Linked DNA regions of Schizosaccharomyces pombe. The protein of the gene in region 1 binds, or shares a complex with, the protein of each later gene. Each region holds a gene or a part of one and is shown on either strand. Other genes may lie near its edges. A codon is read from its position in the direction of its gene.

What was found.
Region 2: the proteins of tif224 (region 1) and tif225 are in contact, whole or in part, in a crystal structure (PDB 5B04), measured with the Schizosaccharomyces pombe proteins. Residues at the interface, in NP_594503.1 of Schizosaccharomyces pombe: Arg295 (codon at 2,975), Tyr331 (codon at 2,867), Ile332 (codon at 2,864), Gln334 (codon at 2,858), Glu335 (codon at 2,855), Glu410 (codon at 2,630), Lys412 (codon at 2,624); in NP_594285.1 of Schizosaccharomyces pombe: Lys267 (codon at 2,764), Glu268 (codon at 2,761), Tyr308 (codon at 2,641), Arg310 (codon at 2,635), His311 (codon at 2,632).

The regions. Positions count from the first base shown.
Region 1 is NC_003424.3:4,255,461-4,261,592, reverse strand, and holds tif224 (translation initiation factor eIF2B delta subunit tif224), read right to left. Parts: upstream 3,894-6,132; 5' UTR 3,858-3,893; coding exon 2,454-3,857; 3' UTR 1,810-2,453; downstream 1-1,809. Other genes in the region: iba57 (iron-sulfur cluster biogenesis IBA57-like protein), read right to left, coding at 460-1,242, 1,298-1,492; cyclophilin family peptidyl-prolyl cis-trans isomerase Cyp8, read left to right, coding at 4,109-4,320, 4,461-5,375, 5,441-5,864; L-azetidine-2-carboxylic acid acetyltransferase Aca1, read right to left, coding at 6,104-6,132. UniProt on the Schizosaccharomyces pombe protein: Acts as a component of the translation initiation factor 2B (eIF2B) complex, which catalyzes the exchange of GDP for GTP on the eukaryotic initiation factor 2 (eIF2) complex gamma subunit.
Region 2 is NC_003424.3:3,667,780-3,674,329, forward strand, and holds tif225 (translation initiation factor eIF2B epsilon subunit tif225), read right to left. Parts: upstream 3,728-6,550; 5' UTR 3,719-3,727; coding exon 3,661-3,718; exon of another isoform or gene 3,617-3,660; coding exon 3,555-3,616; exon of another isoform or gene 3,512-3,554; coding exon 3,387-3,511; exon of another isoform or gene 3,318-3,386; coding exon 1,526-3,317; 3' UTR 1,351-1,525; downstream 1-1,350. Other genes in the region: stress-responsive DNA-binding transcription factor Prr1, read left to right, coding at 1-896; V-type ATPase inhibitor and disassembly protein in response to oxidative stress Oxr1, read right to left, coding at 4,754-5,320; DASH complex subunit Spc34, read right to left, coding at 6,521-6,550. UniProt on the Schizosaccharomyces pombe protein: Acts as a component of the translation initiation factor 2B (eIF2B) complex, which catalyzes the exchange of GDP for GTP on the eukaryotic initiation factor 2 (eIF2) complex gamma subunit.

The DNA.
Region 1 (6,132 bases):
TTTTCGTCAAGAGAATCAAGTCTTGTAGAAAAGTGCAGTGGCAGGTATACGCAAAAGAAACGTTTCACCCTACTCTCTTTGGTTGCGGCATTTCCCCTATAACGAACCGCAGCGAATTTTGCTGTAATACAAAATTCCTTCAAATATACAATTCCTTAGATTAAGAAAAAAACGATCAAATTTTTATTGTAGACGGATGTGCTGCCAAGGTACGATTGCCACCATTGAATTCCGTTACAAGTAAAAAAAAAAGGGTTTAGGCTAGACGAAATTTCTTACTTAATTGAATTGCGATTAATAGTACTAGTACCACAACATAAACATACAATTGACATGTGTTCTTACTATTTACACTGAGTGGGAGAATGCGCAAATTAGCTTTGAGTTAGATGTAGAATAAAAATGAATAATTGATAGAAAGAATAAATAAAAGAAGAGAAATCTGCAAACTTTTTCAATTTATGAATTTTCACTTGGCGTAGACGATAACTCATCTAACCAGATACTGGTGTTCAGCTGAATAGGTATTCCATTACATGCCAAGTCGCTTTTGAGATATTGTAGACGGACCAAAGCAAGCCCGACTTTTCCTAAAATTGCAATAATTTTACCAGGCGATCGACGAGAGACCGGCTCTCCTTGCTTTGCGACAATTGAAAGCGGCGCCGAAGGTTCAATAACTTGAGATGGATTGTCTTCGTAGTTCGGAATAATAAATGGGAAAATCCTTTTTCTTGTTACCCCAGTATAGTAGGTGCGGACAGTGAGCTCTTGACCCAAATAGCAGCCCTTGTGGAAATCGATCCCCTTCATCCAATCCATGTTGCTTTCCAGAGGAAATGAAATACTAGGAATAATCTCTTGAGGCCCTTCTGGTATTCCATTTCGGTATCTAAAGACTTTGTAATCATCTAGCGAGCCGGAGGAAGAAGAAGTGCATGTAGAAGTAGGAACTATCATTCGTAGCAAACGCTGTTTGGAAAAGCGAGGATCTTTTGCGTAAGCGACAGTATCTTTTAACCTACTTTCTTCCTTTACGTCCCAAATTACTTTGATAGATAATTCTTCAGATGGTATCTTTGCTATACTACACCGGGATCGCAGGTTGTATTTCTTCAGGTGTTTTAAAAAATCGGATTCTGCAACCTTGTCAATTTCAACGTACAATTCATCAGATCGTTCATTTTCCGTGCCATTATTGGAGACTTTTGGATATATAAAGGAATCAAATAATACTCGCCCCTAGTAAGTTAGAATACATCGCGCATCATTAAACCCAACACCGCAAGCTCCTTACCTGTGTATTTAAGAAGCCCGTGTATACAGGATTATCTAAAGTTATTTTGTTGGTCGTTAAGCCCTGAAGAAACTTGACTGCATCAACTCCTTCAACACGAATGAGAGATTTCGATGAATTTAGACAAACGCTGTAATTTCTAAATAGCTGGAATGAGAACTTTATAAACTTGCTCCTAACGGTGAACCTATTCATTGCCCATAGGTAAAGTACTTGAATTCACTTGGTTTCCTGAGGCTAGAATAGGACTCTTTTACAGTAAACCGAATTTCTAAAATCGATAAGTGGTTGAGATGATGATTTCGCATCACATTGTTTTTGTTACTTTTCGGGGGAATCCAAGGAGGATATGGCAAAATTATTAGTGTATATTATAAAGATATATATTATTATTTGTTTGCAATACAGTAATATCACTGTAGGAAAAAAACCTAAGGTCAAAACATACTGAAGATGAATTTTCTTCGATGAGGAACAAAATTTCCCTTTTCTTAAAAAAATAATATTTAATTCTGGTGTTTATTACTAGAATCGCTCTTAAATTATTACAGGTTTTAGATCATAAGCTGACATCAAGCGTAAAGCTTGTGATGCAAAATTTTATTTCAGCTTCGAACATCAGTTCTATAATTTAAAAAAAAAAAAATTGAATATCGAGTAACAGCTTTCTATTTTGTGTCTTAAAAAAAAAGAGATTGCAAGTTTTCTCCGATATATCCGAAGCATCAGCATACTATAGCCGGAAATGAAGTGATGAAATGACATTGTACGATCCCTGCTCATTTCATTTCATCTACAAATATTAACCATTAATACAACAAAAGAACATCATTACTCTTAACCATGCCAATAGCTCCCCTTGGATATACCAATATGTCAAAAATCATGTTGAGACAATTTAAATGCCAATATATAATCTACATGGAAAAATTAGAACAGTTTAGGTTCCTTTAAGAAAAGAGTAAACAATGAACTTTTGTAAATTTAAATATAATGAATTTTTTATTTTCACACAAACCAAATCTTCCAAGCATTGAGAAAGGAATGAGAAATAACAAAGGGAAAATGAAAGGTACTTCAAGGAAGCAAACATGGATATGCTCATAAATTACCTCTGAGGTGGACGAAACAAAAAAACAAAAGGAAATTAGAGAAATTAAGCATAAACCTGTTTGAACTCGTTTATGATAGCCGGTACCGAGGTTGAAGGTAAAAGCCCCATTTCACAAACACATACAGTAATTAGACGAGGTGGAGTAACATCGTATTTTAGACTGAGTAATTTTAAGTTCTTAACACTTTTCCAATTTGCGAGTACACCAGGTTTTTCTTCAAAGTCATCCACACCCATGTTTACAAGTTGATCGCCAGGTGCAAGTTCATTGTATACCAACGAATCCAATTGAATGCGCTCAGTAAATTTATAAGACTCGCAACACGCTATTACTGGAACATTAGACTCGTGTCCCAAAAGGGAAATTAAAGAGGTACCGGCACGAGAATATAGAGCACCATTCGAAAGCATAGCATGGCCTCCAAGGAAAATTTTGGTCACTTCTTGCATGATATAGGAAAGCGCTGAAATCATGACATAGGTACATTCAATCCCATGCTCGGTCAACAGCTTCAAACAAACCCGGCCTTCAAATTCTGGACGAGAGTCTACCACGACAACCCGGAATTTTTTACCAACATTCTTAGCATGAATGAGAACATCGTTTACTGTCGAAGAGTGCAAGTACGTTAAAATGACATCTCCGTCTTGTATTTTTTCGGTTGCTGCTTGTACGATGACTTGTCCTGCAATGATAATACGATCGCGAATATAACTGTCAATTTTTTCCAGAAGCAATTCTTTTCCCTCGTCGTCGGTAAGGTCAATGTCTAAAACAGAAATTTCGAGTTTTAAAAAGCGAATGGCGTTCCCCATACTGATACTCAACGGACGAGTTGATACTAAATAAGCAATTTGAGAATTTATATGCGTGGTCAGATGCCTGCTCAACGTCGTACCGTAGGGTGTTTGATAATCTTGGATGACGATTTTAAAAGTTTTCAACAAATCAATACAGCGCTGATTCGATCCAAAAATCTTATAATTTGCAAGTTTTAAACCCAAACGAATAACAGCAGGATGGATATCTTTCGGAATATTTTCAGTGGTTCTACGACGTCTCCAATCGAGGTGCGAAAAGATAGAAACTTGCTTTTCCTCAAAAATCTTTTTTTCTTGCAAATTAGCATCAGTTTCTGGACTATTCTGCGGGTTTTGTTTCGATGCCTTCTTTTGTTGGTTACTATTTTTATTAGGGATAGCTACCTTTTTTTCTTCTGAAACACCGGGTGGATTATTCGCGGCAGCTGCTTCGGCTTTTGCTCTTCTACTTGCTTGTTTTCTGGCCTTTTTCAACGCTTTTGCCTCCTTCCCTGAAAGTTTTGGCTCATTGGGAGAAACGACAGAAGAAGCTGTAGCTGGAGATGTTCCTCCCACACTAGAGCTTTCACTAACAGGGCTTTGATCCTTCCCATCCTTTTTTGCTTGTTCTGCTGAGAACCCCATCAGAAAATCAATATTTCTATTAAATTGGTTTGTTTTGGTAGAAGCGTAGATGAGTTTAGCTATAACACCCAACGTGCGCTTAGTGACCTTACCCTTACTACACCAACGCTATTCGACAACGTATACTTGTAGTTCGCATATATATTACTAGAAATTAATTACTTTATCGCCTTAAAATATCATAAAATTAAGAACTTTTATTTTTATTTTTTATAACCGTACAAACGTATTTATGATATTTATTAACAGGAATGGGCAAAAATACAGACAAACTGTACATTACACAAACTGAGCATTCGGGTGTGCATGGGTGGCATGGTGGTATGAGTGGCATAGCCCAAAAGAACAGTACCACAAGTTACAAACAACTTCCTTTTAATTATTGCTCTCTTTCCTTGCAGCCCTTTAACCATCCTTGTTGTCTTGTGGATGAAACCAAGCAAGCCATTATTTTCGATTTTAGGTATGTAAATCACTATTAGATGTGAGTTTCGAAGCAAATTTTTTGGTATTAAATGATATTTGTTTACCAACTAATCTAGTTGCTTTTGGAAATCTTTCATTCTTCATAAAAAAGTGGTGATGAGCGCTAACATGTGTTAGATTTATTGTTCCTTGGCTTCGAAAACATGGTACTAATCCTATTAATGGACAAAAGGCATCAATGTCAGATTTAATAAAGCTCAAGTTTGCAAAAAACAGTGCTGAAGAGTATTGTGATCCAGTTACGATGAAAAGCTTTACGCGCTTTTCACACATCGTGGCTATCCGTTCTACAGGGAATTGTTTTTCTTGGGATACTATTGAACGTTTGAACATAAAACCAAAACATTGGAGGGATCTCGTGAACGAAGAGCAATTTACCAGAGACGACATAATTACCATCCAGGATCCTCATAACGTTGAGAACCGAGATTTTTCGGCCATTCAAAAACAAAAGGAAACCGCAAGAGATGAAAAAATAACCAAGGCCAAAATTGCTTTACAAGCATCTCGCGCCAAGTCAACGGAGTCAACTTCATCACCTGAGTTATCGCATTCTCTCGATTCATCTAAATCTATAGCTTCTGATATGCCAATTCATCGCGCATCCCATACAACTGGTTATGCTGCAGCTTCCTTAACCTCCACATCATTTACTCCTGTAACGAAGAATGAAAGAGCAATTATTGCTGAAGAAGATTATATGCTTAACCATACGCGGATCAAGCACAAAGGATACGCGCGTATTGTTACTAATCACGGAGAAATTAATATTGAGTTGCATACAGACTATGCACCCCATGCTGTTTACAATTTTGTCCAGCTTGCCAAGCAGGGCTATTATCGTAATACAATTTTTCATCGCAATATTGCTAGATTTATGATTCAAGGAGGTGATCCTAGTGGAACTGGAAGAGGTGGTCAAAGTATTTGGGGCAAGCCGTTTAAGGACGAGTTTTGTAACCCTTTAAAGCATGACGATCGTGGAATTATATCTATGGCCAATCGTGGAAAAAATACCAATGGAAGTCAATTGTAAGTGTTTTCTTCTCTATTTTTTAAAAGCTTCAAAGAAATGCAAGTGCTAACCTGATTTATAGCTTTATATTGTATGGACCAGCGAAACATTTGGACAATAAACATACAATATTTGGTCGAGTTGTCGGTGGTTTAAATGTTTTGGATGCTCTTGAAAAAGTCCCTACCAACAGTAATGATCACCCCAAGTTACCAATCAAGCTTGAAGACATCATAATATTTGTAGACCCATTCGAAGAGTGGAAAAAAGATGAGCGGGAGAAGGAGAAACGAAAAAGACAAGAAGAAGAAGAGGAAAATAATTTAGACCGCACTTCTTGGACTGGGAGGGATTTATCGGCGTCTTCTACGGATCATTCTCTAAATGCGTCTGTTGGAAAATATCTAAAAAAGGAAGTATCACTTGAAGAAAAGACATTCACTTCTACTGTAAATCCCAAAAAGAAAAAAGCACGCACAGGATTTGGAAATTTTGACGCATGGTAAACTTACTAAGTCAAACGAAATATATACCAAACAACTTAATATACGGGACTTGTTAAATTATTTCTGAGTTTATAAGGTTTTTTAATATCATATCATTTATTGAACATTTTGTTGTACAGTAAGAAGCTTCGCAGGCAGCAAATATTGAACCTTTGCCTCTTAAAACAAACTGCTATCGAAAGTGTGGCATCCAAAATTGAAAGGAGAGAATTGCAAATTTGTGAAAAAGTAAAGGAAGTTTATTTTAAGGCATCTTCAAGTGAAGGGA
Region 2 (6,550 bases), 590 kb from region 1:
CAAAGATGACTGTTGACACCAATCTTGGCACAGCACAACCTTCTTTGTATAATACTCCTTCATCTGATTATGAACTGGCAAATCAGGAAAAGCCGGCAGACTCCATGGCCTCTGCCGCCTCTCTAAATACCCCTTTATCATCTAATGACCATTCTTTGAATCCACACGCCCATGGCTCATATCCGATGTACGAAAAATTTCAACCGATTCAGCATCCAAATCCAGGAAGCTTTACCACCCATCTTGACTCCAATGCTTCCATGGCAAAGTCATTTTCTCAAATTTCAAACGATTCCCTTGCCAAAGCTAGTTCAGTAGCAACGTCCATGTCTCAAATGGGCGCTGCTGTTCCAACTACTGGCTTGTGGAAGCGGCAACCAAGGATTTTACTTGTCGAAGATGATGAACTTTCTCGTAGAATGACTATCAAATTTTTAACTTCATTTGATTGCCAGGTCGATGTAGCTGTCGATGGAATTGGTGCCGTAAATAAAGCTAATGCTGGTGGATTCGATCTCATCTTAATGGACTTTATACTTCCTAATTTGGATGGACTGTCTGTAACCTGTTTAATTCGTCAATACGATCATAACACACCGATTTTGGCTATAACTTCAAATATATCGATGAATGATGCAGTTACCTACTTTAATCATGGTGTAACAGATCTATTAGTTAAGCCATTTACAAAGTTGACTCTACTTCAACTTTTAAAAAAGCAACTTTTGAATCTTTTACAAGCGGATAACTCAATTAATATGTCTGATGTTCCCTCCACGAAAGAAGCTAAAGACGATAAGGCTCCTGTGACATTTTACTTAGAGAATGATGCTCCTATGTATCCTCAACAGATGTTACAGGATCCCATTCAAGCAGACTTACAGCATCCACATTGATGGAAAAGTCTTAATGTTATATATTTCTTATTTTTACTATCAGGTCTCTTTTACTTTTGTTTTATATAAAAAACTATCTATCACTTCTGTTTGATTTAGTTAAAGGTTTAATCTTTGGTCTATGTATCTATGTTCTCTTTGGGGTTCAAGTTAAGGCTTTCTTTTCGAAGAAAGGCTTTTCATATCCCATGACTAGTTGTTTAAATTCCACAAATTCCAAACAGTGTCGGAATTGTCTTTCATATCAACTACAACTAGAAACATGTACAGAAGAGACATAATCAATATAACTTTTCAGTTTTTGCATTGTATTTTAGCCACTATTTTCTTCGGTTTGCTCAAATTATATTATCTTCATTCGCTTGTTGTATTTCTTACATTTCAGCTAAAAATATTGAATTCGTCCAACTGATATTATCGTAAATAACTATGCGTGTAATTAACAGAATAGTGCTGGATTTTAACAACGCGCCCTGTAGACCAAAATTTTATTTTTCTTCTCTATCGTATTATTATTTGCTAGAAAATAATAGCCAGCTAAATTATGAGTGACCCTTTTTTTTTGAGTAGACAGAAACCACTTTCATAACACTGTTTTAAGTCAGAGTTCAGGATTTGTAAGGGAACTATTATTCTGACCCTTCTTCACTCTCGCTTTCACTTTCAGCAGTATTCAACCAGTCGACAAATTGTTTGCCACCGGCATCACGAAGCGCAGCCAATTCTCCTTCGCTAGAGCGGGGATCAGAATACCATTCTTGAATGGCATTCTCTTCAGCAATTTCTAATTGGTAGAAATATCCCAAAAGTTGTAAAAAGTGCCGAGTCATACTCAAACGGACACAGTACTTCTGCAGCGTTAATACGTTGTCAACTTGCTCTTCATGGCTAAATGTCAGTTTTGCAAGCAATGGACCCCAACGTGTCATTACTTTTGCTAGTGCCTCCTTGGGGGATACATCTAAGTGCATGATACGCCTTAAAAGAGCAAGAACAATTGCGGATCGCACCTCGTGATAGTTGGCATTCATGGCCATTCGGAGGGTATTGAGTTCAAGAGCAGCAATATCAATTTGGTGGTTTTCTTCAAAGGCACGTTCAAGACTCTGCTGAGCTTCCTTGTTGAAATCTCCTTCATCGAAATCCTCTGAGTTAATTGTATTGGCAGAATCGCGTCTAGCTGAAAAGGGAATAAATTCCATATCTTCTTCAGAAGACGAACTTGTCTCTGAAGATTCTGAATCAGATAAATGTAACTCATTTGTACTTTCAATAAGCCCTGAAGCCTCCATAAACTCTCCCTCATCATCAGAATCCTCTTCGGCATGATATTCTTGACCACGTCCACCAATCCCTACCAAAGATGGATCGTTCAAAGTTCCTTGAGAGTGACTCTCGAAAGTTGTAAGACGCTTATTTTTTTCAATTATTGTATTATCCCCAATAACAACGCCTGCAGCTACTATAGCACCATCTTCAATTGAACAATTATTTCCAATTTTTACAGAATTGGCAAGAATGGCTTTGCCAATTCGACAATTATCTCCAATGACAACATCTTCCCAAAGGAAAGCACTGTCTATACTACAATTGCTGCCTATGGTACAATTCCTACCAATGATAGTATTCGCAACCACAGACGCATCACCGACTTTGGTATAGGCACCGATCAAAGTTCGTGCCTTAATAATGCAAGAACGAGCAAGAACAACGTCTTCTTCCTTATAAATCTGATGTCTTTGATAACTAAAAGTTTGGTTAAGAAGATTGCTATCGGGAACAAAAGGATAGACCCATCGAGAAAGAACATCTTTGCTAATAGCATCATAAGTTTGAAGACTACGAACACGAGCTGCATAATTTTCTTTAGCAACATGGCAATGAATCTTTTTTCCTAAAAGATCAGAGGTTAAAACACCATATACGAAGTCTTTTCGAATGTCTTGGTAATCAAAGTTTTCAGTAAAAAGGGCAGGTACATCATTGGAGCAAATGTCAATTTGACAGTCAATCAAATCATTTCGAACCTCCAACTCTTCATGCTCATTAAAGATTTCGGGATCCATAGAAACATAATGTTTTCCCCTTTCGTTAGCTTGATAATGCACGCATTGGCTGGTCTTTTTATCTATCACGAAAACAGAACTCTCTGTACGGGCGCGTGTACGATGAAATGGACTTGCTTCTCGTACAACCATTGTCATAATAGCATTTTTATCATCTTCACGGCGCTTCCGATGTTCTTTCAAAACTTCGTTTAGAGGCACATTGGATACCACATCGCCTGATACGAGTATGAAATCGGAGGTAATTAGCTGTTTTGAATCGAGCTCTCTTAAAGCATCACCAACCGACAGAGATTCTCTTGACACAATCGTGTTTACACTAAAGGGGGAAGAGGGAAGATTCCACTTTGACTTTCTGTGGGTTATATTGTGTTAGTTATATCGTATCAGAAATTCGAATTTAAGACCTCAATTTAGCACATACTCTATATATTCTCGAATTTGTCCTGCATGGGCACAGCAAAATACATAAACTTCTTGCACCCCGGCCAATGCCAAAAACTCAAAAGTGTACTCTATTAAAGGGGTATTTGCTAAAGGAAGAAGACACTAATAATATTAGTACTTAAAGTGTACACTGGTAATTGCATACGCGAGGTTTATCTAATGTAAGAGGGCGAAACCGATAATTATAAGAATCCGACAAAACAATCGCTAAAAATTAGTAACAAACACTTTTTGAATCCCAAAAACATTACCTTGCAGAGCGTGTTTTGGCTTTTCTAGCTTGCCATTCAGCCCTTTGGATGGAGGCATTTCGACAATGTAGAGGGATTAGACATATTTCTCAATATCATTTAAGCCCAAACAGTCATTTAAGGATGCCGTGCTCCACTGCCTTATAACTTAAAGATTATTCTAAACAATTCATCAACTAGAGACTAAAAAGGAATTTATAAAGACGTTAATAATCAAAGAGTAATTAAATTTAGGATATTAAATTTGCATAGCTCATTTCTTTTATAGTTTATTGGCGAAAGAAAGTGGTTTTATTTAAGTAACCACAAAAATTCCACATAATAAACAGAAGATATAAACGGTGATTTATCCTGTTAAGTTGGTAAATTTTGTCAATTTGTTTTCTACAATTGGGTAGTGGTTGCAAACATTTTACTAATCTTATGGTAGTTTATCGAGATTTGAATACAGGTTTCAAGTGTTTACACGGTAATCAAAAAGAAACATAATAAATAAAACTTCATAATAATTATTATTACTGATATAAAGTGGATGGTAGAAATCGATTCGTCAATTAGGGACGATACGAATTGTTGATGAAAAGCAACCACGTGAATAAATATACTAAGTGTAGCATTAAAAGTTATGAATAGAAAAAGAGAAAATTAATAAATAATAGACAATTGGGGAGAAGATATTGGGGATGCTCTTCATTTGATTCGTTCACTCAATGCATAAGGCGTAAAGAAATTAATAGCAAGGATATTCATGCTTGATCAATTAACAAACGTAATCTTCCGGAATTGAGAAGAAGTATTAAAAATTAGCTGATGATAGAAAGCTATACATCACAAATGGGAGGGAAGAGTCCTACGGCTCGAATTTCTGGTAAACTCGATATTCATTGATTGAACATGCAAATCAACGAGTTAACTTGAATTAAGAATAATAATCAATGCATAGAGTCAGCATAAAATTGTCTTTGGTTGAATAAATTAGTCATAAAGAAAGCACGGTAAAATATTAATCTTGATATAAATATAAAACTTGGGCTGATGCACATTTCCGAGTCCATCTTTTATTTTCTTTTTTCTTTTCATTCGTTAGTTGATATTACTCCAATACCCAGAGCTCGATGTCCACGATTTGGATTCGTTGGTCAGGACAGCCACGATAGCTCAAAGGATTGTTTTCGAATGCAGGAGTACGACTAGAGTAAGCGTACTCTAGAGAGCCATCAAGCCAAAGGCTGTATCTTCCATTACCCCCACCAAATGCCAAAAAGCTTTTGGTGCAATATGCAACAAAATTGGAATTTCCTACGAAAGGGTAATGTACATACTTTTTGGGAGGAAAATATTTCCACAAGAAGGTTTCCTCGGAACCAAAGTAATGAGGTGCAGGAATTAAATAATCAGGGATAAAAACTCCAAAAACATCGCCGTCTGTATCGCGCACAGCTAAAATGCAAGCCCCTTTAGGATGGCCGCTTCGAGCTTTTTCCTTTTCGCAGGCTAAGTACATTGTTTGAAGAGATGCGCCGTCATGTTGCAACGAATAGATTCGTTTCCAAGTTTCAGCAGAAGCATATCTTGCTGGCAAGTTCTCAACGATGTGACTGGCCAATTCATCTGTTATTAAGCCGTCTTTAACACTATACTGTCTTGTAAAGTTAAACATTTCAATTGATACAAAATACTTGCTAAAATTTTGTACTCTTATGGTGTGTGTAGTTAGAAAGATTAAGGTGATCCACTAGCCTTATGTAATAAGTAAACAAATAAATAATTGTGAATACAATAACAAACACTGAAATAAACAACAGTAAGTGTATTCTTTAATTTTCCAAAGAAGAAGTTTTTCTTAATAAAGGTATTCTTATTGATCCTTTTTTATTGTTTTTTTTGAGAAATCGAGTAAATAATTTTTTTGGCGTAATGTGTGATTGTTAAGGTGGAGCAGCAGCCTTGGTATTAGCAATTAAAACATTCGTTCAAATTCTATCATTCAGTAACAACAAAAAATAATTATAGTTGACGAGTCAATAGAAACACTATGAACCTGACTTTTACTCTATATTAATAATCAAATATAGAATAAATACATAGTGTTCCATTACTTGCTATCATACTATGCTATTGAACTTTTATTTATATCTTAAATAAAATCTTTTAGAACTTTTAAGAACAAGTATGTACTTATGTTTGTATAAATATTAAGAACTCATTACAACAAATGAGTCCAATGCAAAAGCTGGCGTTGAGCCAGTAATCTAATTGCCGTCTTTAACTTATCATGAACATTATTGTATTTTTCACATACTATTCTATAAATGAGAATATTACAAAAACAATGAGTTATTATGCTCCTGAGTTGTAATGTACTTAGTTTGCTAATTATCTTCGTTCAATATCTTTGCCGCTTTAGAGAATTCCTGGAGCAAACAGTCCAAAGATTCTCTTCTCTTCTCTTTATGTTTTTCATATTCTAGGTATTCATAATCCTCTAGCTCTTTTGTAGCCTTCAAAGTAACAGTAGACGAACTTGCTTTTTTCTTAGCAAGCGACATTTCAATATGCTTTTTAAAGGATGATATATCAAAACATCGACTTCTTTTTTTCCTCTTCAGCTTCATCAGTTTGTATTGGGAGTAAGCCGATCGATCATCTGACGTCGAAGGATAACTGCAATCAGAAATATCTCGGGTGCTTCTTTGAGGATGTAACTTCAAAGGAATGAGTCCATGGTCTTTTATATCCTCGCTTAAATACATTTCTTGTTCTTTGCTCAAATCCATGATAAAACAACGACCTCGCTTCTCCTTTTCTAAATGTTCACCAATACGAAAAGTCGATCTGACTACCAACGCAAATAGCCTTCCTAAGATTGTATCAGTTGCTTCACTTTTTC